3 linked regions of the Anolis sagrei genome follow. The protein of the gene in region 3 interacts with the protein of the main gene of each other region in a biochemical or structural test. Links are inferred from orthologs where the notes say so. Each region holds a gene or a part of one and is shown on either strand. Other genes may lie near its edges.

Region 1 (7,804 bases), on a different chromosome or scaffold from region 3:
TTTATACAATCTGCTCAATGGTATTCATTTCTATGCAAATGCACAGAACATTCAAGACAAACTAGAAGACAATCCTTTATTTTTTAATTTTCTACTCCATCGTGGAATAAAATTGGACACAGGATTCTTTAGAAAATAAGCATCTCTAGGTCGCACTGGGCTTACCTAAATATCACCAATTCAGCCAAATCTACCTGGGAGACCCACATCTTATTATACAAACGCTACACTATCATCAGAACGGTCTTAATAACCTATACACCAAATTGCTGTTGCATGTAAGGGCCCTTCCACCCTGCCCCTATATCCCAGGATCTGATCCCAGATCAGTAGACCCTCATATATCCCAATTTAAAGTAAATAATCTGGGATCAGCTCCTGAAATAAAGAGCAGTGTGGAAGGGCCCTAAGTTTATTTCACACTGCAAACCACATTCTATGCTTTGACTGCACATACACTCACACACATATAGACCAGAGAAATAACTGCAATGAAATAAGCACAATAGTTCTCTTATTTCCACACTGCTGAATAAAATCCCACTTTTTCTGCTTTGAACTGGGATATATGACAGTGTGGATTCAGATAAGTCAAAAGTAGATATTGTGGGATTTTCTGACTTGATATTCTGGGATATATGGCTGTGTGGAAGGGCCCTCAGTGTAGTCCCAGACTGAGGAAGCATACACCTGTCACTCTTGATCCTCTGCCAACAGGCGGTACGTGTGTGTCGGGAGAGACATCCCAGAGTGAACTATTTAGTCCACATTCACAATCCCTGTGGCCCTCATTGATTACAGTGTAATTATCAACTCCCCAGTGCGTTTAAACTAGACACAACAGTCTTTTTCCTGTCACACATACTGCCAAGTTCTCAATTTCCTCTTCCAAATGGATCATAAGCACACACAATTCATGAGTGGGTTGTTGTACGTTTTTCCCGGGCTTTATGGCCATGTTCTAGAGGCATTCTATCCTGATGTTTTGCCTGCATCTATGGTAAGCATCCTCAGAGATAGTGTGGATTCAGATAAGTCAAAAGTAGATATTGTGGGATTTTCTGACTCGATATTCTGGGATATATGGCTCTAGAACATGGCCATATAGCCCAAAAAGCCCTATAACAACTCAGTGATTCAGGACATGAAAGCCTTCGACAATACTTTTCCTTTTTGATGCAAAGTTTAACAAATAATTCCTCCTTAGATGTTTTGGGCTAAATGCCTTATAGAGCAGATCTTTGAGTCAATTAACGAATTAAGATAAATCAACTCTGTGTATATTTAGTTGAATCAAATAATGTTTTGGTATATACTAACCATTCATTTTAAGGTTGTGATTCTTGTGGCTGAAAGGAACAGATGCCCAAGAGAGACAAATACTTGAGTGTGTGATCCAATCACATCCAGAGAGGTGACCTCACTACCTCTGAGGATGCTTGCCATAGATGCAGGTGAAATGTCAGGAGAGAATGCCTGTAGAACATGGCCATATAACAAAAAACAAAACAAAACAAAAAAAAAACAAAAACCTACAACAACCCAGTGATTCCAGCCATGAATGCCTTCGACAATAAATTCATGAGTGGCCACTTAAAAATAGGGTGGACATGAGCAGAGCTCTTCCTTTTCCTCCCTTGAGAAAAAGCCCACCCCCTCCCAATTAAGCAGCAAGTTGCCTCCCTCATATATATTCCTATTTGTATTTATTCTTGGATCCTAAGAACCCACAATTCAAACAAGATATTTCACAGGGTTGTTGTAGGTTTTCCGGGCTATATGGCTATGAATTGGATTTTATGAGTCTACACTGCCATATAATCCAGGTCAAAGCAGATAATCTGGATTTTAAATGGCAATGTAGAAAGGGCCAGTGACTGTAGATTCAACATATCTGGAATCCTTCCTCCTGTCATCAATATTTTTTGCATTTCCTGGTACACTTATACTCTGGGGTAGGCATGCGAATGCAAAAGCAAGCAAACCTAAAAGCTGCAGACCCTTTCTGATCTTGGTAGTTAAGCTGGGACATTTCTGGTTACTCCTTGAATGGGAGACCACTAATGAATCCTAGTTACTATAGCTTGTATTTCTGAGGAAAGAACTGGGAAAATCATCTCTGAATTCTTTACCTACAGACTTATCACAGGGCAAAAAAGGATCCTAGGAGAATGTACTGTCGAAGGCTTTCATGGCTGGAATCACTAGGTTGTTGTAGCTTTCAGGCTATATGACCATGGTCTAGAGGCATTTTCTCCTGACGTTTCGCCTGCATCTCTGGCAAGCATCCTCAGAGGTATTTCACACATCATGAGTGGCTTGGAAAGCAAAACAGGATGGATATGAACAGAGCTCTCCCATTTTCCTCCCTTGAAAGCCCTCCAGTAAATGCCCTACCCCATCCCCAAATTAAGCAGTCAGTTGCCTCCTTCATAATATATATCCATTCCCATTCGTTTTTACATTCTTGGCCAGGCATCCAGGTTTCTCAGCCACTCTTTACTTGGAGCAGAACCTGAACCATCATGGCACAATTCTCTCTAAGGGGAACTCTGTGCCAGCCTAGAGGGGATTGATCCCCTCCCCTCCCAAAAGCCTCCATCTCTACTATGGGGTTGTCTATGGGGAAACTGCAATGTCACCCCCAGCCTTCCTCGAGCCCTAGATGGCCACAATCCAAGATGGCGGGGGGATGAAGACAAGAGAAAGACCAACCCAGGCTCAGCCCTGCTTCTCTCCATCCCCCTCCCCTTTTGTTGCACTCCTCTTAGAGGCCTACTGTTGTGATTTTACCCTCCTAACGACCCCTGGATAGAAGGGCTCCAGAAATATCCCTCACCCACCCATCCTCTCTCCCTCCCTGAGATGGGCCCATCCCTGCTGGAGGCCCCCATTCATTTCCTCGCCGCTCACCTCCATCCCCAAACTCCTCCCGGAAGTACTGCGCAGGCCCAGCCGACACCAGGGCCAGCATGGAGCAGAAGGCCAAGAAGAGAGCCATGTCTTTTCCCCGCGCGCAAGGTTCTCCTCCTCGAGCCTGACAAGGGCAACCGACTGCGGCCAGCGAAGTGCTTTCGCTGCCCTTTTATACCGGGCTGGATCGAACGCCCGCCTCCGCCGTGTCCCGATTGCTCGCGCCGGGCCGGATGGACACTGCCATTGGTCGGTCGGAAAGACGGCGGGTTGGGCAGCGCCCCCGAACGTTGGCGTCCCAGATGGCCGCTTCTGATTGGATACTACCTCTGGCCAATGGGGCACGACCACGCGTTCGGGGGGAGCCGCCCCCTCCCTATCGCCTTGTGTGCGTCACTCTTCCTTTTTCTTTTTTTTTTTGCACAAGCCCCACGTGACCCCGGCGGGATTTAAAGGGCCAGCTCAAGGCCGCTTTCCTCGCTTCTTACACCCATTCATTGCAAGGCTCTGAAAGGAGGGTGAAAGCACATTGGAGAGTGGGAATCATAGAATCATAGAGTTAGACCAGTGGCCAGGACATCAAAGGACATTTAACCAACTACCAAACTCACAAGTTTTGTATTTGTCTGTTTGCTTGCTTGTAATATAATGGACTGGTTGCTCTGACAGGACAAATAAATAGAGTTAGACGAGACCTCATGGGACATCTAGTCCAACCCCCTGCCAAGAAGCAGGAATATTGCATTCAAAGCACCCCCATCCAGCCTCTGTTTAAAAGCCTCCAAAGAAGGAGCCTCCACCAGACTCCGGGGCAGAGAGTTCCACTGCTGAACAGCTCTCAAAGTCAGAACGTATCTCTCCTTACAAACCCTTTAGGAATTTAAGATCTTCTAGGGAGGCCCTGCTCTCGGCCCTGCCATCTTCACAGGCTCGATTAGCGGGGATGAGGGATAGGGCCTTCTCAGCGGTGGCCCCTCGGTTGTGGAATGCCCTCCCCAGGGACAATAGATCAGCCCCCACCCTCTTAACATTTCGCAAAAAAGTTAAAAACTGGCTATATGAGCAGGCCTTCCCAAAGGCAGTGTAGCTTTGAAACTCTGATCTCGGAACGGTTGGACAATGTGACTGGACAATGACTGATTAATGAAATGTGGAGGACTTATGGTTTTTTATTATGTTTATTGATGTTAATTGTAATGATTTTTTAAATCTGTGTTAAATGTTTTTAATGTTTAAACTATTTTTGTACTGTTGTGGGCATCGAATTGTGCCGTTTTGTAAACCGCCATGAGTCGCCCTCGGGCTGAGAATGGTGGCATAGAAGTGTAGTAAATAAATAAATAAATAATGTTCTGCTGGAATCTCCTTTCCATCTGAAAGGAGCATAATGGGGGTTCCAGGTTGCGTCTGCCCATGAGAAAGATTGGTTCCAGCTCTCCAAGCACTTGTGCTTTACTTATGATATATTGTATATACATCTAATATTTATAATATTAAAATGTAATACAATATAATACTACTACTAATACAATATTATAATTATGTATTCCATATTACATGTAATATCACTAATAATATTACAATATAATGGCATAGTACTGATATTGTACTATGCTAATAATTACTTACTTACTTAGGCGATCCCTCGTTGTCCAAGCAGGATAGTCTTCCAGGATTAATGTACTGGTGGTTGGTCCATAAGTGTCTGTGGAGCCCTATTCTTGATCTGCATCTTCTCCCGCAGTGAGGGCATTGGTTTCCAGGTGGAATGTGGTCTCAGTCGGGGTTGTCTTAGCGTGCCTTCCTCTTGGCACATTTCTCTCTTTCACCCTCTATTCGTGCCTCTTCAAATTCTGCAGCACTGCTGGTCACAGCTGACCTCCAGCTGGAGCACTCAAGGGCCAGGGCTTCCCAGTTCTCAGTGTCTATGCCAGAGATTTTAAGTTAGGCTTTGAGCCCATCTTTAAATCTCTTTTCCTGTCCACCAACATTCTGTTTTCCATTCTTAAGTTCAGAGTAGAGCAACTGCTTTGGGAGATGGTGGTCAGGCATCTGGACAACGTGGCCGGTCCAGCAGAGTTGATGGCAGAGGACCATCGCTTCAATGCTGGTGGTCTTTGCTTCTTCCAGCACGCTGACATTTGTCCGCCTATCTTCCCAAGAGATTTGCAGGATTTTCTGGAGGTAGCGCTGATGGAATCGTATCAGGAGTTGCATGTGACCTCTGTAGACTGTCCACGTCTCACAGGCATATAGCAGGGTTGGGAGGACAATAGCTTTATAAACAAGCACCTTGGTATCCCTATGGATGTCCTGGTCCTCAAACACTCTCTGCTTCATTTGGAAAAATGCTGTGCTCACAGAGCTCAGGCGGTGTTGCATTTCGGTGTCGATGTTGACTTTGGTAGAGAGGTGGCTGCCAAGGTAGCGGAAATGGTCAACGTTTTCTAATGTTATACCATTAAGCTGTATTTCTGGCACTGGAGGGGGGTTGGCTGGTGACTGTTGGAAGAGCACTTTGGTTTTCCCGATGTTCAATGACAGGCCGAGCTTCTCGTATGCTTCTGCGAAAGTGTTTAGAGTGGCTTGTAGATCTTCTTCTGAATGCGCAGAGACGACATTGTCATCAGCGTACTGGAGTTCTGTAACAGATGTTGTTGTAACCTTGGTTTTGGCTTTCAGTCTGCTGAGGTTAAACAGCTTGCCATCTGTCCGATAGATGATTTCCACTCCGCTGGGAAGCTTCCCATCAACAAGATGAAGTATCATAGCGATGAAGATGGAGAATAAAGTTGGGGCAATAACACATCCCTGTTTGACACCTGATATTGTACTATGCTAATAACAAATTGACCATACATATAGCAATAACCTATAAAACCAACTTTACAATAAAGCATAAATAAACATTTTAAAATTATTTAACAGATATAAATACAATTGTTGTGGGAACTCCTCAATACAGATGATAAACTTTACTCAACTCACTGAAAGATATAGCCTTCCTGTCATTCCAAATTAAATATCTTCATTAAAAGCTTGCTTGAACAGGAAGGTCTGAAGATTATTATTTAAATAATAAACATTTTATTTAAATAATAACCATTGACAAATTCCTGACCATAAAATGCCTGGCTTCGATTAAAAGCTGCTTCAAAAAGGAAGATCTGCACAGCTTTCCTGAATGACATCAGTGTGGAAGCTGATCAAACTTCCTCCAGCAGCTTTGGAGCCACTCTCGAGAATGTGCTTTCTCTGGTGGCTTTTAAATGCATGATGGCCCTGGACTGTGTGGAGAACAGAGTCTCCTTACTAGACCTTAAAGGTCTGCCATTTATTAGAGGACCATTGTGGCTTAGTGGTTTGAGCATTAGGTTATGGCTCTGTAGGCCATGGTCTGAATCCCAGCTCGGCCATGGAAGCCACTGGGTGACTCACTCAATAGTTTGATATTCTGCATTAATATTGTGTTTTCTCACTTCTCCCACCCTTTGCTCTTTTCTGGTTTGTTTTGTGTTACTGGCATCATCATTGAAACCACTTGTGTCAAACTCAAGGCCCTTCATATCATTTAATGTTGTCCTGCAGATGCCTGACTACAGCTCCTATATTTTTTGTTATTAGAGCTGATGAGAGTTGTGATATAGTAACACCTGGAAGGCTGCAGTTTGTTTTGTTTAGTCACGAGAGTCAGGGTTGGATTTAGGTACAAGACTTGTGGATATGATGTCTGACTTTAACATGTCCGCTAACATTTCCCCAATCTTAGACCCTCAAGGGTTGTTGGATTGCCAGACCCATTATCCTCAGTCTGCATGGCATATAATCAAAAGTGTTGGGAATTGTCATTCCCTAACATCCAGGGGCCCAAAATGGGTAAAAACTAAAGAGACCCAACCACTATGTAAATATCTCTATATAAATAAAAATGTAATGTTCGTTCGTGGGATTAATATAACTCAAAAACCACTGGACGAATTGACACCAAATTTGGACAGTGTACACCTAACAACCCAATGTATGTCTTTCACTAAAAAAAATGATTTTGTTATTTGGGAGTTGTAGTTGCTGGGATTTGTAGTTCACCTACAATCAAAGAGCATTCTGAACTCCACCAATGATGGAATTGAATCAAACATGGCATACAGGACTCCCATGATCAACAGAAAACACTCAAAGGGTTTGGTGGGCATTGACCTTGAGTTTGGGAGTTGTAGTTCACCTACATCAGAGAGCACTGTGGACTCAAACAATGATGGATCTGGATCAAACTTGGCACAAATATTCCATATGCCCAAATATGAACATGGAGTTTGGGGAAAATAGGCATTGACATTTGGGAGTTGTAGTTACTGGGATTTATAGTTCACCTACAAACACAAAGCATTCTGAACTCTACGAATGACAGAATTGGGGCAAACTTACCACATAGAACCCCCATGACCAACAGAAAATACTTCAGGCCACCCAGTCCAACTCCCTTCACCAGGGCAAGAGAATGTAATCAAAGCCCTCCTGAACAAGAGCCATCCAGCCATAGATATAGATAGATATATATGATTCACAGAGAGAGAGATATAGTATCATAGATTTGAAAGGGACCCCTAAAGAAGGACAATTATATGTTGCATGTTCCAGAGTAGGCAAACCAGACAATCTCCATATCAACACTGACAAAGAAACAACAAGAAATACTGTTTACCCACAAGCATAAAGGCATTACATATATTAGAAATCAACATTTGCTCATTATTTTATTTTCCAGATCACCAGACTGAGCCAAAACAATGTGTGGCAAGGGATGGCTAGTATATATATATAGTTGGTCCTCTGTATTCATGGAGTCAATGGTCCTTTGAAGGCAACCATCAGGCTGAAACCCTCAATGAAA
Region 2 (7,808 bases), on a different chromosome or scaffold from region 3:
AGTATGTGAGAACCTAATGCTTACCATCCCATAGTGGAGGGAGTTATCTTTTCAATATAAGTTCACACAGAAACATGAAGAAAACTTATTAATGAGAAGCCTTTTTAAAAGGAGTAGCATAAGCAATGAGATGGGACTTTTTAGATTGCTGTATTTCCTGTAATCCACTGGGGAATTTGAGTACTTTGCTAGACTTCCTTCAGAAACGTCACTGGTGGTTTCCTCTTGCTATTGTTGTATGCTCATGCAAATCTAACATTTTGATGAAAGTAAATTGTGGTTGTTCACACTTTCTTTCCTTATTAGGCCCTGAGCTACCCTTTATAAGCACTCAAAAAACAGGTGAAAAATATACACATCATCTGTAGAAAGATCACAGTACTTCAGAATATGAATGTCAGCTTCAACTTGAAATATTAAAAGTTTGGAGAATATATGAAACCAACAACTTTTTACATTAGTATATATAGTATTCTTAAGTAATAAATGGTACACATTATCAGCAAAAAGAAATCATGTTTTTTCATCATATTCAGACATGGTAATAAAAACACAATCAGCCCCAAATATCTGAGAAATCTCTGAATGGAGAAAGTTCTTACATTGGCTGTTGCCTGCAACTATATCGACAGTACAAAAGCTGCATAAGGTCTAACAACATCACTGTGGTATACCAATTAACAAAACTGCAAAAAGAGCACAGTTCCTAAGACTGCTTCAACAAGCAAAACTGTATTCTTGCATCTGGCATTGCAGACAGATTGGCTGGTGACTGCTGGAAGAGCACTTTGGTTTTCTCGATGTTCACTAACAGGCCAAGCTTCTTATATGCTTCTATGAAGGTGTTTAGAGTGGTTTGTAGGTCTTCTTCTAAATGAGCAATGCCAGAAATACAACTTAATGGTGTAACATTAGAAAATGTTAACCATTTCCACTACCTTGGCAGCCACCTCTCCACAAAAGTCACCATTGACACTGAAATACAACACCACCTGAGCTCTGTGAGTGCAGCATTTTTCTAAATGAAGCAGAGAGTGTTTGAGGACCGGGACATCCGTAGGGATACCAAGGTGCTTGTTTATAAAACAATTGTCCTCTCAACCCTGCTATATGTCTGCGAAATGTGGACTATCTACAGACGTCACATGCAACTCCTGGAATGATTCCATCAGCATTGCCTCCGAAAAAATATGGCAAATCTCTCAGGAAGACAGGCAAACAAATGTCAGTGTGCTGGAAGAAGCAAGGACCACTAGCATAGAAGCTATGGTCCCCCGCCATCAACTCCGCTGGACCAGCCACGTTGTTTGAATGCCCGATCACCGTCTCCCAAAGCAGTTGGTCTAGTCCAAACTCAAGAATGGAAAACGAAATGTTGGAGGGCAGGAAAAGAGATTTAAAGATGGGCTCAAAGCCAACCTTAAAAACTGTGGCATGGGCACTGAGAACTGGGAAGCCCTGGCCCTTGAGCACTCCAGCTGGAGGTCAGCTGTAACCAGCAGTGCTGTAGAATTTGAAGAGGCATGAATGAAGGGCGAAAGGGAGAAACGTGCCAAGAGGAAGGCGCATCAAACCAACCCCAACCGGGACCACCTTCCACCTGGAAACCAATGCCCTCACTGTGGGAGAACATGCAGGTCAAGATTAGGGCTCCACAGTCACCTATGGACCCACTGCCAGGACACTGTACTTGGAGGACAATCTTACTCGGACAACGAGGAATCGCCTAAGTAAGTAAAGTAATTCTTGCATCTAACCCTTTCTCTTTAGGATCTAATTGAATTAACTGCCATACACAGTGCCTGCCAAGTACATTTCTTTTTCTGTCTCCGAGTCCTTCCACACAGCCATATATATATATATATATATATATATATATATATATATATATACATATATATATATATATACATACCCAAAATATCTGCTTTGAACTGGGTTACCTGAGTCCATGCTGCCATATATCCCAGTTTAAAGCAGATATTGTGGGATTTTCTACCTTAATATTCTGGGTTATATAGCTGTGTGGAAGAGCCCTCTCTCAGAGCATAGCACTGCTTATTGAGATTTATATCCTGATAACAACTTGTATCCCCAAGATACTAAATGCAATTATATCTATTGATACACATTGTTCTGAAGACTAGTGCACAAATATTATTCCTGGGCCACCTGAAACTAATAAAAAAGAAATTAACTCCCATTCCCTCTTCTGCCATTGTTTTTGCAGATTCTGTCCAAGGATTTTTCTCCCCGTGAAAGTTACTCAGAGAATAGATACCAGGAATATCATTGGCCAGTTCAACAGCACACTGGATATGTTGTACATTGCACTGACACTTTTGGCAAGCGTAAGGAAGACAAAGGGCAAAGGAAGCAAAAAAACAAACAAACAAACAAAAAAACAACAACGAAAGGAGAGAGGTGGAAGGGTGGAAGGAAAGAACTAAGCAAAACGTCATATTCTAAATTCTTACCTTGGTCTTCAAGGGTAACAGTAAAGAATGTAGTTAAAACCCACAACAGGCTTAGTGAGTAGGCAGGAATCATAGTTCTCATTCAGATCTTAAGTCTGCATGAGTTTCAGAACTCAGTAAAGATATATAATCACAGAAGAGGAAGGAAAAAAAAACAAAACAAAGAACCCACAATTAAAACTGGGGCTTTCAGAGAGGAACACCAATGTGAACTAGACTGAGAAGTACATAAAATGCTACCTAGCACTGAGAGTGCTATCACTGCAAACACGTCTTCACTCTAAATTCAGAGCAAAATTTTTCAGTATATCATGTAAGATTGATTTAACACTATGTGAGTCCCATTTCTGAAATTTAGCATCCCACATCAAACACTAAGGCTCCTTCCACACAGCTGAATAAAATCCCGTATTTTCTGCTTTGAACTGGAATATGTGGCAGTGTGGACCGAGCTAACCCAATTTAGAGCAGATATTGTGGGATTTTCTGCCTTGATATTCTGGGTTATATGGCTGTGTAGAAGGGCCCCGAAAGTGCATCCAGGCTGATAAAAAAGACTAGGAAGTCCTAGACTTTGTTTCTGTTATCTATCTATCTATCTATCTATCTATCTGGCCTGGGTAACAACGGAAAAATTTGTTTCTAAAAATCAATTCGTTTTTTGGGGGTTTTTGCGTTTCGATATTTAAAAGAATTCCGAAATATTTCTTTTAAAAAGTTCGATATTTACGAAATTTCATAAATGTTAAAAAATTACGAAACATTAACGAAACAAATACGAAACAATAACGAATCGATTCGTTAATGGCGGATGCGACCGCGCAATACGCTAAAAAACCTCCAAATGGGACAGGGGGAACTTCTGAAGCTTCCCTCTCCCTCTGTTGTTGACTGTTGGTGTGATATTATAATTTTTTTTCACTAATTAAACAAAAAACAACTATAAAACTTGCCCCAGACATGCGGAAATAATAACGAAACGACCTCAAACCGATAACGAAACAAATACATAATGAATCCAAAGCATTTACGAAACGAATTTAAAAATTCGTTCCGTTTTTAAGTTGCTCCAGAATGGTTCATTATTGCTTCGTTATAAAAAAAACCGAATTTTTAACGAATTACGAATTAACGAAATGAAACCGCCCAGCCCTACTATCTATCTATCTGCTCTGTTCATTTTGAGTGATATCATAACTCAAAATCTGCTGGACGAATTGCTGCCAAATTTGGCCACAAGACACCTACTAACCCAAGGAGTGTCCATCACTCAAAAAATTGATTTTGTCATTTGGGAGTTGTAGTTGCTGGGATTTATAGTTCACCTACAATCAAAGAGCATTCTGAACTCCACCAATGATGGAATTGAATCAAACTTGGCACACAGGACTCCCATGACCAACAGAAAACACTAGAGGAGTTTGGTGGGCATTGACCTTGAGTTTTGGAGTTGTAGTTCACCTACATCTAGAGAGCACTGTGAACTCAAACAATGAAGGATCTAGACCAAACTTGGCACGAATACTCCATATGCCCAAATATGAACACAGATGGAGTTTGGGGGAAACAGACCTTGACATTTGGGAGTTGTAGTTACTGGGATGTATAGTTCACCTACAATCAAAGGGCATTCTGAACCCCACCGATAGAATTGGGCTAAACTTCCCACACAGAACTCACATGACCAACAGAAAACACTGTGTTTTCTGGTGGTCTTTGGCAACCCTTCTGACATCCTCACGACCCCTCCCCCCCGGGGTCCCGACCCCCAGTTTGAGAAATGCTGCCTTAAGGCCATCCAGTCCAACTCCCTTCATCAGGGCAAGTATAATTGAAGCCCTCCTGACAAAGAGCCATCCAGCCATAGATATATATATATATGATTCACACACACGCACATATACTATATATATGAGAGATACAGTATCATAAATTTGAAAGGAACCCCTAAAGAAGGACAATTATATGCTTTATGTTCCAGAGTAGGCAAACCAGACAATCTCTACATCAGGGGTCCTCAAACTTTTTAAACAGAGGGTTCTTCCTGAGACCGTGGGGGAGGTTCTTGGGGCTGTGAGGGCGACCACCTCGGCTCTTGACCCTTGCCCATCCTGGCTTATTAAATCTGCCAAGGAGGGGTTGGTTGATTGGTTTGTGTTGATCATCAATGCATCGTTGGAGCAAGGGATTTTTCCATCCAGCTTGAAACAGGCTGTGGTTCGTCCACTCCTGAAGAAGTCATCCCTTGACTCTACAGTGCTGAACAATTACAGACCGATTTTCAACCTCCCTTTTTTGGGTAAGGTGCTGGAGCGGGTGGTTGCCCTCCAGCTCCAGAGCTTCCTGGATGACATCAATTACCTGGATCGGGCACAGTCTGGTTTCAGGCCTGGTCATGGCACCGAGACAGCCTTGGTCGCCTTGGTGGATGACCTCCGTAGAGGACTGGACCGGGGGAGTGTAACCCTGCTGGTCCTCTTGGACATCTCAGCGGCTTTCGATACCATCGATCATGGTATCCTTCTGGGTCGGCTCTCGGGGATGGGCCTTGGGGGCACGGTTCTATCGTGGCTCCGGTCCTTCCTGGAGGGATGAACCCAGATGGTGAAGCTGGGAGATGCCTGCTCGGACCCCTGGCCTTTGACCTGTGGGGTCCCGCAAGGCTCTATTCTATCTCCCATGCTTGAAACCGCTGGGAGAGGTCCGGAGTTTTGGAGTTGGGTGCCATCTCTACGCAGATGACGCACAACTCTACTACTCTTTTCCACCTAATTCCAAGGAGGCCTCTCGGGTGCTAGACGAGTGCCTGGCCGCTGTGTCCATCTGGATGAGGACGAACAAGCTGAAGATCAATCCCGACAAGACAGAGGTCCTCCTGGTTGATCGCAAACCAGACCGGGGTATAGGGTGGCAACCTGTGTTGGACGGGGTTACACTCCCCCTGAAGCCACAGGTCCTTAGCTTGGGAGTCCTCCTGGATTCATCGCTTACGCTTGAGGCTCAGGCGTCGGCAGTGGCCGGGGGGGCTTTTGCACAACTGAGACTTGTGCGCCAGCTGTGCCCGTACCTCACGAAGGCTGATCTGGCCGGGGTAGTCCATGCCTTAGTCACCTCTAGACTGGACTACTGCAATGCGCTCTACGTAGGGCTGCCCTTGAAAACGGCTCGGAAATTCCAACTGGTCCAACGGGCAGCAGCCAGGATGCTAACGGGGGCCCCTTACAGAGAGAGGTCAACCCTCCTGTTCAAGGAGCTCCACTGGCTGCCGTTTATTTTCCGAGCCCAATTTAAGGTGCAGGTGCTTACCTACAAAGCCCTGAACGGTTTGGGACCATCCTACCTTTGAGACCGCATCACAGTCTACGAACCCACACGCTCGCTCCGGTCATCAGGAGAGGCCCTGCTCGTGATCCCACCCGCCTCACAGGCGCGTTTGGTGGGGACGCGGGACAGGGCCTTCTCTGTGGTGGCCCCCCGCCTCTGGAATGCCCTCCCGAAAGATCTCAGACAGGCCCCCACCTTGGCGGTTTTTAGAAAAAAACTGAAAACCTGGCTATTCCAACGTGCCTTCTCAGATTAGGAACCCCACTATCAAAGCCCAGAAGCACTTTAGTAGAGTCAAGACCACTCCCAATGCACACCGCACTTATACTTTAATCTCATATCCCCCCGTCACTTTTTTCAGCACTTTTAACCCTGTACCCCACTCCAGCCGGCTCAGTTTTTTAATATGTCCCGTTGTATTGTTTATTGCCATTGTTCTCTGCTTAAACTGTTTTATTTGCTATGTATTGTATTGTTGTATTGTTGTATTGTTGTATTGTGTTGTGCTGGGCTCCGGCCTGTTGTAAGCCGCATCGAATCCCTTTGGGAGATGCTAGCGGGGTACAAATAAAGTTTAATAATAATAATAAGGTCACAGTCCCTCAAACTGTTGGAGGGCCGGATTATAATTTGAAGAAAAATGAATGAATGAAATAAGATATGCACACTGTACATATTTTATTTGTAGTGCAAAAAAACACTTTAAAACAATACAATAATTAAAATGAAGAATAATTTAAACAAATATGAACTCATTAGTATTTCAATGGGAAATGTGGGCCTGCTTTTGGCTGATGAGATAGGGTTGTTGTTGTTGTTGTTGTATGCTTTCAAACTGTTTCAGACTTAGGTTGACCCTGAGCGAGGGCCGGGTAAATGACCTTGGAGGGCTGTATCTGGCCCCCGGGCCTTATTTATTTATTTATTTATTTATTTGGAGTGCTTCTACCCCGCCCTTCTCAACCCCTTAGGGGGGACTCAGGGTGGCTTACAAAAAAGGCACATTTCGATGCCCAACAATTCACAAAGTACAATATACAATTTACAATTTAACATCAACAATTATCACTAGTTAAAACATCACATCAATACAATAACAGTAATAAAATCATCCTGTGGCCAATGCTCGCCGATTTATAATTTCATAATCCATCCAGCATTGTCATTGTCCTTTCCTGCTCTGGTCATCCTTGTCTTTGTCCGTCTGCCAGCTTACCCAAAGGCCTGGTCCCACATCCAGGTTTTTAGTTTGAGGACCCCTGCTCTACATCAACAATGACAAGAAAACAGCAAGAAATACTGTTTACCCACAAGTATAAACAAATTACATATATTAGAAACCAACACTTTCTCATTACTTTATTTTCCAGATTACCAGACTGGACCACAGCAATGTGTGGCAGGGGATGGCTAGCTTCTTATATACAGTATCCCAGAATATATTCTGCCACCTCTTGGTGCAATCAAAGAGTTTTTATACCTGCTCCCTAAATCAGATTATTTTAAGCAATATAAAACTGGAAAGAACAGGGACAAAATCTGGCATGTTTCAATCAATCCAAATGTGTTAACTGTTACATTAATTGCTGATCATTGTGGCCAATCCTGCCGTCTCTGCCTTTCTTCTCTCTTGTACAAAGCTAGGTTGGGAAGGCTAATAGTCACCAGATGAAATTCAGCATGGCTGCATTGCTGAGATTCCCTCATCTTCCCAACTATGAAAAGTAGAGGAGTCATCTTCTGATCTTGACTTTGACAACCCTACTTTAAAAACCTCCAGACTATACTTCAGTTCAGCTTTGGAGCAGAAGATGAGATTTTCTGTCTAGTTTTGAAGTATGATAGTAAGCAAAGGCTCCTCTTCAACCTGGAGAGAAGTGACCAGCGGAGTGCCACAGGGTTCTGTCATGGGCCCAGTGTTATTCAACATCTTTATCAGTGACTTGGATGATGAGCTAGAAGAAACGTTTATCAAATTTGCAGATGACACCATATTGGGAAGGGTAG
Region 3 (7,786 bases):
TGGATCCAAAAAAGGACTTTACATTCCTATCAGACAGACACAATTGACTGCCAAGAATTGATATAATCTGGGACACAAAAAGCCTTACTACACAACAGATCTGGCCGTAGTGGTCCACACTCTTGTTACATCTCGAATAGATTACTGCAACACACTCTATGTGGGGTTGCCTTTGAAGACTGTTCGGAAACTTCAATTAGTCCAGTAGGCGTCGGCCAGATTACTCACCAGAGTGTCATACAGGGAACATACCACCCCTCTGTTATGTCAGCTCCGCTGGTTGCCGATCCAGTTCCGAGCACAATTCAAAGTGCTGGTTTTGACCTACAAAACCCTATACGGCTCCGGCCCAGCGTACCTGTCCGAACGCATCTCCTTCTATGTACCGCCGAGTTTAAGATCTTATGGGGAGGCCCTGCTCTCGGCCCCACCTCGATCACAAGTGAGATTGGTGGGGACGAGGAGTAGGGCCTTCTCGGTGGTGTCCCCTTGCCTGTGGAATTCACTTCCCGGGGAAATCAGATCATCGAGATCCCTCCTCTCTTTCAGAAAGAAACTAAAAACATGGATATGGGACCAGGCCTTTGGGTAATCTGGCAGATAGACAAAGGACAATGACGACTAGAATTGATATGATTTGACAATGTGGAATGAATTTATGGATTCTGAGCTGGCGAACGTTGAACATTAGATTGGTTTTATTGATTGTTTTAACTGTTTTAAGTGTTTTATAATTGCTTTTGATACATGTTTTATTTTATTGTTGTTGGCATCGAATTGTGCCTTTTGTAAGCCGCCCTGAGTCCCCCCTCGGGGGTTGAGAAGGGTGGGGTAGAAATGTGTGAAATAAATAAATAAATAAAATATGAAACTTTGTATTCCACCCAAGGATGGTGTCAGACTATGTCTCCATTTCAATTAAACTAAAAGGACAAGACAGACAATGAATATAGAGGCTTAATGACAATTTACTCAAGAAAGAAGAAATCTTAAAGAAATGTGAAAACTATATTTAGGATTTCTACAATTAAACACAACTCTCTGAATGTCACCATATACATTCTGGAATATGGCAAAGTTTTATAAGGGGTAAATTAATACAACTCAATGTAATAAAAAAAGAAAATAAACTGGGTCAAACTGCACAAAATTCAACTGAAAATTAAAGAAAAGGAACTTGAACATAATAAACAACCAAAAGATAAAATACTAGGTAAAGAACTGAAATTATTAAGAATTCAAGAATTCATCCACTTAGTTTTGGGAAGTGTTTTAAGTTTTTGCCAATAACATTTAAAAAATCCAAAAAAAGGGAGAGAGGGAGGTATCTCCTGGATTTTCTCCACAGTGACTGAACAGGAGTAGGGCATAATTCCTGCCAAGTTTCAGAAAGATCAATTCATCCACTGATAATTAGGAATTTCTTAATTTTTCTCTCTCTCATTCTGAAAGGAGGAGACAACTTGTAGGGAAAAAACAGGGAATTCTGGATCTTGAAGTCCAGGACAATAGAGAGGAAATTCAGCTTGTGTTTGGCTGAGGCTGATCATGTGATGCCCATCAACCTGCTGCTTCTTTAAGTATGGAAAAAGAAGCCATCAGAGTATAAACAAAGCTAATGAACTTTTTCCGGAATTCTGTGTGTGTTCTATTTTGCCCTTCCAGTGTTTTGTTTTGGCAGTTTGTATCCACAAATCTCTGAATTTTGCCACAATCAGAATTGACTGCTGGAAATTTGCACACACCGAGTCATTATCATTATAAAAGCGGACAAGTAAATTCTCTGGTGAGATATAAAGGTTGAAGCAGGTATCAACGAGCATGGAAACTAACTTTTTGAACATGCAGATCTTTCAAATTTGTGATTCTTTTTCTCTTCTCAAGGTAGATTTTGCCCTTCTTAAATGGAAATTATGCAGGGATTCTAACCCAGATCCATAACAGCATAACTATGCCTCGGGTTTTGCAATGTAACCATCTCTGCTTTCAATAATTGTAATGGGGTTGCTGTGAGTTTTTTGGGCTGTATGTCCGTGTTTCAGTAGCATTCTCTCTTGACCTTACACCTGCATCTATGACAAGCATCCTCAGAGGATTTTTCAGGGGTCAGGGGAGAATGCTGCAAATGTCAGGAGAGAATGCTACTGGAAAATGGCCATACAGCCTGAAAAACTCACAGCAATCCAGTGATTCTGGCCATAAAAGCCTTTGACAACACAATAATTGTAATGCTCACCTAATGCCCCTTCTACACTGCCTTATATCTCAGGATTGGATTATCTACTTTAAAATAGATTATATGTGTCTACACTGCCAGATAAGCTGGGATAACAAGATAATCTGGAATCAGTTCCTGAGATATAGGACAGTGTGGAAGGGGCCTTAGTGTGCAAGTTCTAGCTTGATCTGTGCCACAGCACAAATTGAGGGTGGCTTCAAATTCATTATAGTGTCTGTGTAGAAGCACCCAAAGAAAACATGATTACAGTTCATTCAGCTGCATCAAGAGCATGGAGGAAGACCAACTGAATAAAGCAACCACTAAAGGTGGGGGAAATTAAGGTGTAAAGCAGCATTACTTACCAGCTCAATCCAGTTTCAAATAAAATAATTCATTTGATGTGAAAAAAATACAAAGGTGGGAACAAAGAGCAGATTTATCTTCTCTTCAGAATGCTGAGAAAAAACAGGGTAAGGAAAAACCCTCTACACAGGTAAGCATGTTTACTTAATCCCCATGCTTGCACAAATCTATGGATTGCAAAATGGGGCTTTCTATTTCACCATTTATTAGCATGGACTGTGGTGTTTTATGATAAGCTCGTTGCCTATTGACTTACTAGATAACAAGAATACATTTAAAGTTACCTTTTCAGATCACCTCTCCAAAGTTGTTTCTTTCCATCTTGTGGCATTTTATGAATGACAGTCATACAAAAATCCGCAAGACTTGGTACTTTTGAACCATTATCAGGCCTATTATAGTACACATGACTTAACTTCTGGTACGTTCTCTAGGGTGACCTTATAATTCTAATGTCTAGTGAGGTTGAGAAATCTTTAAAACAGGAGGATGGGGGAAAAGAGTAAATATCAGGAAGAATAGAGTTTGTATGCATAGTTGCTCAAACAATACCAAGTTCCCAGAAGGAAGGAAGAGGTGAGTCACATTTGACCTCTCCAAACAGTTAAACAGAGTTCTGAATTGAGGCCACAAAAAGTGGACCATTTTTGGGAGACACTTTGTTCTCTATCAGGTACATACATATTTCTGTGGGATTTCCCCCCCTTGCTGTTACCTCTTGAAAAACCTGACTGATTGGTGTTACTCCAAATGTTAAAGATCCTGTTGTAGTACAGCATGATAGTAACGTTCCTACTACTGGTAGAAGGGAGAAGAGGGCTGCGCAGGTGTTGGAGGAGCAGCAGCAGCGAAAGCGGATTAGAGACATATTCATGGCTCCAACTGATTCCGAGTCCTTCGAGGGTTTCTCAGATTGTGAAATGGGGGAAGGAGAGGAAAGCAGGGGAGTTAAGTGGGCTACTCAAGAATCAGATGAGGAGATCCAAAGGAAGCGTCTTTCAAGACTTAGGTCTTCCCAAGTGTTCCCAGATTGCCATTCCTCTGCAAACCCCTCAAAGTCATCACTGGATGTAGGCTGAGTACAGATGCCCCTAATCTCCTGCATCACTCCCATCACTCCTTTGAAAACCCACAAAGTCTTCATCTTCTGTTGGAGACTTTGTGGGTTTTCAAAGGAGTAATGGGACTGGGAGTGACGATGGGGAGGAGGATGCTTTAGACTGGATCCGTAGCAGGAGATTAGGGGCATCTGTACTCGGCCTACATCCAGTGATGACATTGAGGGGTTTGCAGAGGAATGGCAATCTGGGAACACTTGGGAAGACCTAAGTCTTGAAAGACACTGACAAAGGTGGAGAGATGGGCATCAGTGCTCAGCTGCAGGGAATGGGGCAGCTGAAAGTGATGATGAAAGGGTGGGGAGCAGTTCATCCTCTGGTGAGGAGTTATAGGATATAAGTTGGTTTGAATTCAATGGGTCTTTGCAGAAGGCAAAGTGTCTTATTGGGTTTGGATCTTTGTTACTGTCATTACTCTCAAGTTTGGGCCCTTGGACTACAGATCTCCGTGTTTCCGTGACTTCTGGCTGAAACTCCGTAAGTGTTGACTTCAACCTCCCCTTTGACTCTGGACTGTGTTTTGATGATGACTTTGCTTTTTGGACTGCTTCATCTCATTTTGGATGTGCCTGGACTTTGGACTGCTTTTGGACTTTGATTTTGCATGCTCCCACCTTGTTTTCTTGTGCTTTTTGGACCTTTCAAGTGGATTGCTGTAACTTTTTGTTATCCCAGATTATACTCTGGTATAATCCAGATTATTTTTAAATTGGGTTTTTTGCTTAGCAGTTGCTATAGACTCTTAGTTTGTGCTAGAGGCACCGAGTTAAGTGTCTCTAAGCCTTTTTGTGTTTAATAAACCTTTGTTTGGACCTTTTATACTGTGTTTGTCATTCTTGAGGCTTCTGGGTCTTGACAGATCCACTCTCATTTTACATTGCTAGAATGTGCTTTTTAAAAAAAGCCTACAGTGTTTTATAAAATCAGATATAATAGCTTCTTTTTAGTTTTAACCATCACAAATGAACTCTAGAATAATTTTAGACCATTTATTGTTGTTAAAATTGTTATTATACAAACATGATACAATTTCCAAAAAACAATTTTCTTTGTCCAGATTGTTTTTGAGAAGTGTCTTTATTAAACTCATCATTAACAAAACATTGCAGTTAAAAGTCATTTGGAACATTGAGATCTTGACATCTTTCCAATTAATTAGCCCTCCGTTGGAAGAGAAGGTCCAACAACTTGTATCTACTTTCCACCCTAGTGTTTCTCAACCTTTGGTCTTCCAGGTGTTTTGGACTTCAGCTCCCAGAAATCCCAGGAGCTTATCAGCTGTTAGGAATTATGGAAGCTGAAGTCCAAATATCTGGAGGAGCAGAGTTCGAGAAACATTGCTCCAGCCTGTTAGGGAGTATGAGCTTTTTGGACACAGCAGAGCAGACAGTTATGGAAGATAAAAATACAATGAACATTTCAGAGGAATGGATCAGGTCGCAATGATGCCAGAAATTTGGAGTGGAATATCTAGGTTTGCTAACTGTGGATGGCATGAATCAGGAACCAGGAATCTCACCATTTGGAAGGCAAATGACAAAGACCTTTATTCAATTTGTGCAAAAGGAACACTCATATAGCATGGATGCTCAAAAGGTATAAGCGTAAAAGCATAATCGTAACCAAACATTATTATACTCAAGAATTCTCTTGCATTAACATTACTACATTTAGAAATTCCCTCCCTTTCCCCTGACTGGCCAGTGCCGAGAAGCCAGCCGGCATTCCCCAGGTCTCCAATTGGTGAGGAGGTGGGTCTTGGTCAGTGCCAAGAAGGTTGTGGGGATGGAGGCCATTTCTAGTTCATCTGAACTTCTTTTCTTGGGAAGCTGCAGTTCCCATGGAGGTTGAATTATGTCTTCTTTTTATTAGGGGTAGGGTTGGGAGTCCTCAATAACACCAAGTGCAAGAGGATGACATTTGGAGGACACACAGAAGTAGAAGGACTAGGGATCATTTTTTGAGCTTGAAACTACAGATTTGAATAGAAGCACTCTCTACTAGCAGTGATGATAAGGAATAGCAAGAAGAAAAGCAACAGTGTCTGTCCTCAGGAAATGTGCAGGTGGCACAAGGAATGGCCACTGCCAAGGGGACATATGGTGGTGTTAGGGGGCTCCCTGCTGAGTGCAACAGAAGTGATTTGTAAGCCTGATAGGATGACTTCAAAGTTTTGCTATCTTGCTAAGTGGAAAGAAATCTGTGATGTAACAAAGTGGGTGACAAGGCTTGTTAAGCCAACTGACCTTAGGTTTTGTTCAATATGAGAATCAATCACATTATAAGGTATAGCCTTCAGCATATCACGAGGGATTACATGGCTCTGAGTAGGAAACTAAATGGCCTCAATATACAAATTATCTTTTCATTTTTGCTCCCAGTTGAAGAATATGGCATAGGTAGAGAAAGAAGAATAGTGTATCAGTGGTTCTCAACCTGGGGTCCCCAGATGTAAACTGGCTGGGATTTCTGGGGGTTGTAGGCCAAAAACATCTGGGGACCCCAGGTTGAGAATCATTGGTGTAGATGAACAACTGTCTCAACAGATAGTGCTGCTAGTAATGAGTTTTAGCTTCTTGGACCATGGTATGTACTTTCATGAGGATGGTTGTCTGGCAAGATATGGGTAACATTTCTCAACAGTTGGCAGGAATTTTTTTTGTTGATAAGACACTCACAAATATGACTGGAAGGGCTTGAAAATGAAATTTGTGGGGAAAGGAGTCATTATTCTTGAAGACGGGAGTTCACCAAGTGTTGGAGATAATAGCCTAATGGTTATAGAGAGAACTGGATAAAATATACAACTCACATGTGAGATAGAAAAGCTACTTAAATAAGCAGCTAGGGGAAAATGGCCCATGGGGTCTCTAGTCCAGTGGTTCTCAGTGTACTCCATGGAGACTTTGGGGCTCTGTGAAGCATTCTCAGGCACTCCACCTCCCCTCTAATATTTCCCTCCTCTTTCTTGATCCTCCCCCTCCCTTTCCCCCCAAAGTCTTTTTTTCCTTGCTAAAAGTTGGCCTTTGGGGTTGCTCTTTATTGCTGCTGCTGCTGCTGCTGTTGTTGTTATTATTTACTACTACTACTATTGTTACTACTACAAAGGCTGGATGGCCATCAGTTGAGGTACTTTGATTTTTTTTCCTGCATGGAGAAGGGGATTGAACTGGATAGCCCCTGGGGTCTTCCACTGAAATACTGTTACATTTATGTTGGTTAAAATTGTTCTTCATTTTAAATACTGTATTATTCTTTCTTTCCTTTTTCTTTGCACCACAACAAGATATGTGCAATGTGCGTAAGAATGTGTTCATGTTTTAATTTCAATTAGTTCACACAAACACTGTGTATCTGCCACTGACCTGGCCTATCTGTCAAATTTTAAAAACACAATGTGTCAAAAGGTTTGTCCATGCCTGTGATACACACACACACACACACACACACACACACTCACTCTAGCTTGGAGACCCGGCAATGCCCTGGTTACTTGAGAAAGGCATTGTTTGTTTTGGGAAGTTTGGTAATATCTCTGGTGGCTACAAGATGAATTACAATTTATTTATTTATTTATTTATTTATTTATTTATTTGCTTCATTTATATACCGCTCTTCTCAGCCCTCAGGCGACTCAGAGCGGTTAACAACCGGTTACAACAAGACGATACAAAATCAGTAATCAATTAAAACAGTAATATCAACTAATTAACACCAGAATCAATACAACAGTACAGCAATATAACAATCCATCACGTCTCATCAATAGAATCAGCATCCAATCTCGTTGTCCATTATTCCATTCCAATAATCACTCAATTGTACTGCTTAGTTGAAAGCCTGTTCGAAGAGCCAGGTCTTCACACTCTTCCGGAATGCCAGTAAGGAGGGGGCTGATCTAATGTCTGTAGGAAGGGCGTTCCACAGCCGAGGGGCCACTACTGAGAAGGCCCTGTCTCTCATCCCTGCCAGGCGTGCTTGTGAAGCCGGCGGGACCGAGAGCAGGGCCTCCCCAGACGATCTTAACGTCCTAACTGGTTCATAGGAGGAGATGCGTTCGGACAGATAGGTCGGGCCAGAACCG

The links.
Region 1: the proteins of MBL2 (region 3) and CALR form a complex in vitro, tested with the Homo sapiens proteins (2 studies listed by BioGRID and IntAct). The link is inferred for Anolis sagrei from reciprocal best matches to the Homo sapiens genes MBL2 and CALR.
Region 2: the proteins of MBL2 (region 3) and complement receptor type 1 interact in a biophysical measurement, tested with the Homo sapiens proteins (2 studies listed by IntAct). The link is inferred for Anolis sagrei from reciprocal best matches to the Homo sapiens genes MBL2 and CR1.

What each region holds. Positions count from the first base shown.
Region 1 is NC_090022.1:162,448,719-162,456,522, reverse strand, and holds the start of CALR (calreticulin), read right to left. Parts: upstream 3,086-7,804; 5' UTR 3,002-3,085; coding exon 2,914-3,001; intron 1-2,913. UniProt on the Homo sapiens protein: Calcium-binding chaperone that promotes folding, oligomeric assembly and quality control in the endoplasmic reticulum (ER) via the calreticulin/calnexin cycle.
Region 2 is NC_090024.1:196,472,662-196,480,469, reverse strand, and holds the start of complement receptor type 1, read right to left. Parts: upstream 3,055-7,808; 5' UTR 2,560-3,054; coding exon 2,478-2,559; intron 1-2,477.
Region 3 is NC_090023.1:155,058,949-155,066,734, reverse strand, and holds the start of MBL2 (mannose-binding protein C), read right to left. Parts: upstream 3,015-7,786; 5' UTR 2,869-3,014; intron 2,738-2,868; exon of another isoform or gene 2,584-2,737; intron 1-2,583. UniProt on the Homo sapiens protein: Calcium-dependent lectin involved in innate immune defense. Binds mannose, fucose and N-acetylglucosamine on different microorganisms and activates the lectin complement pathway.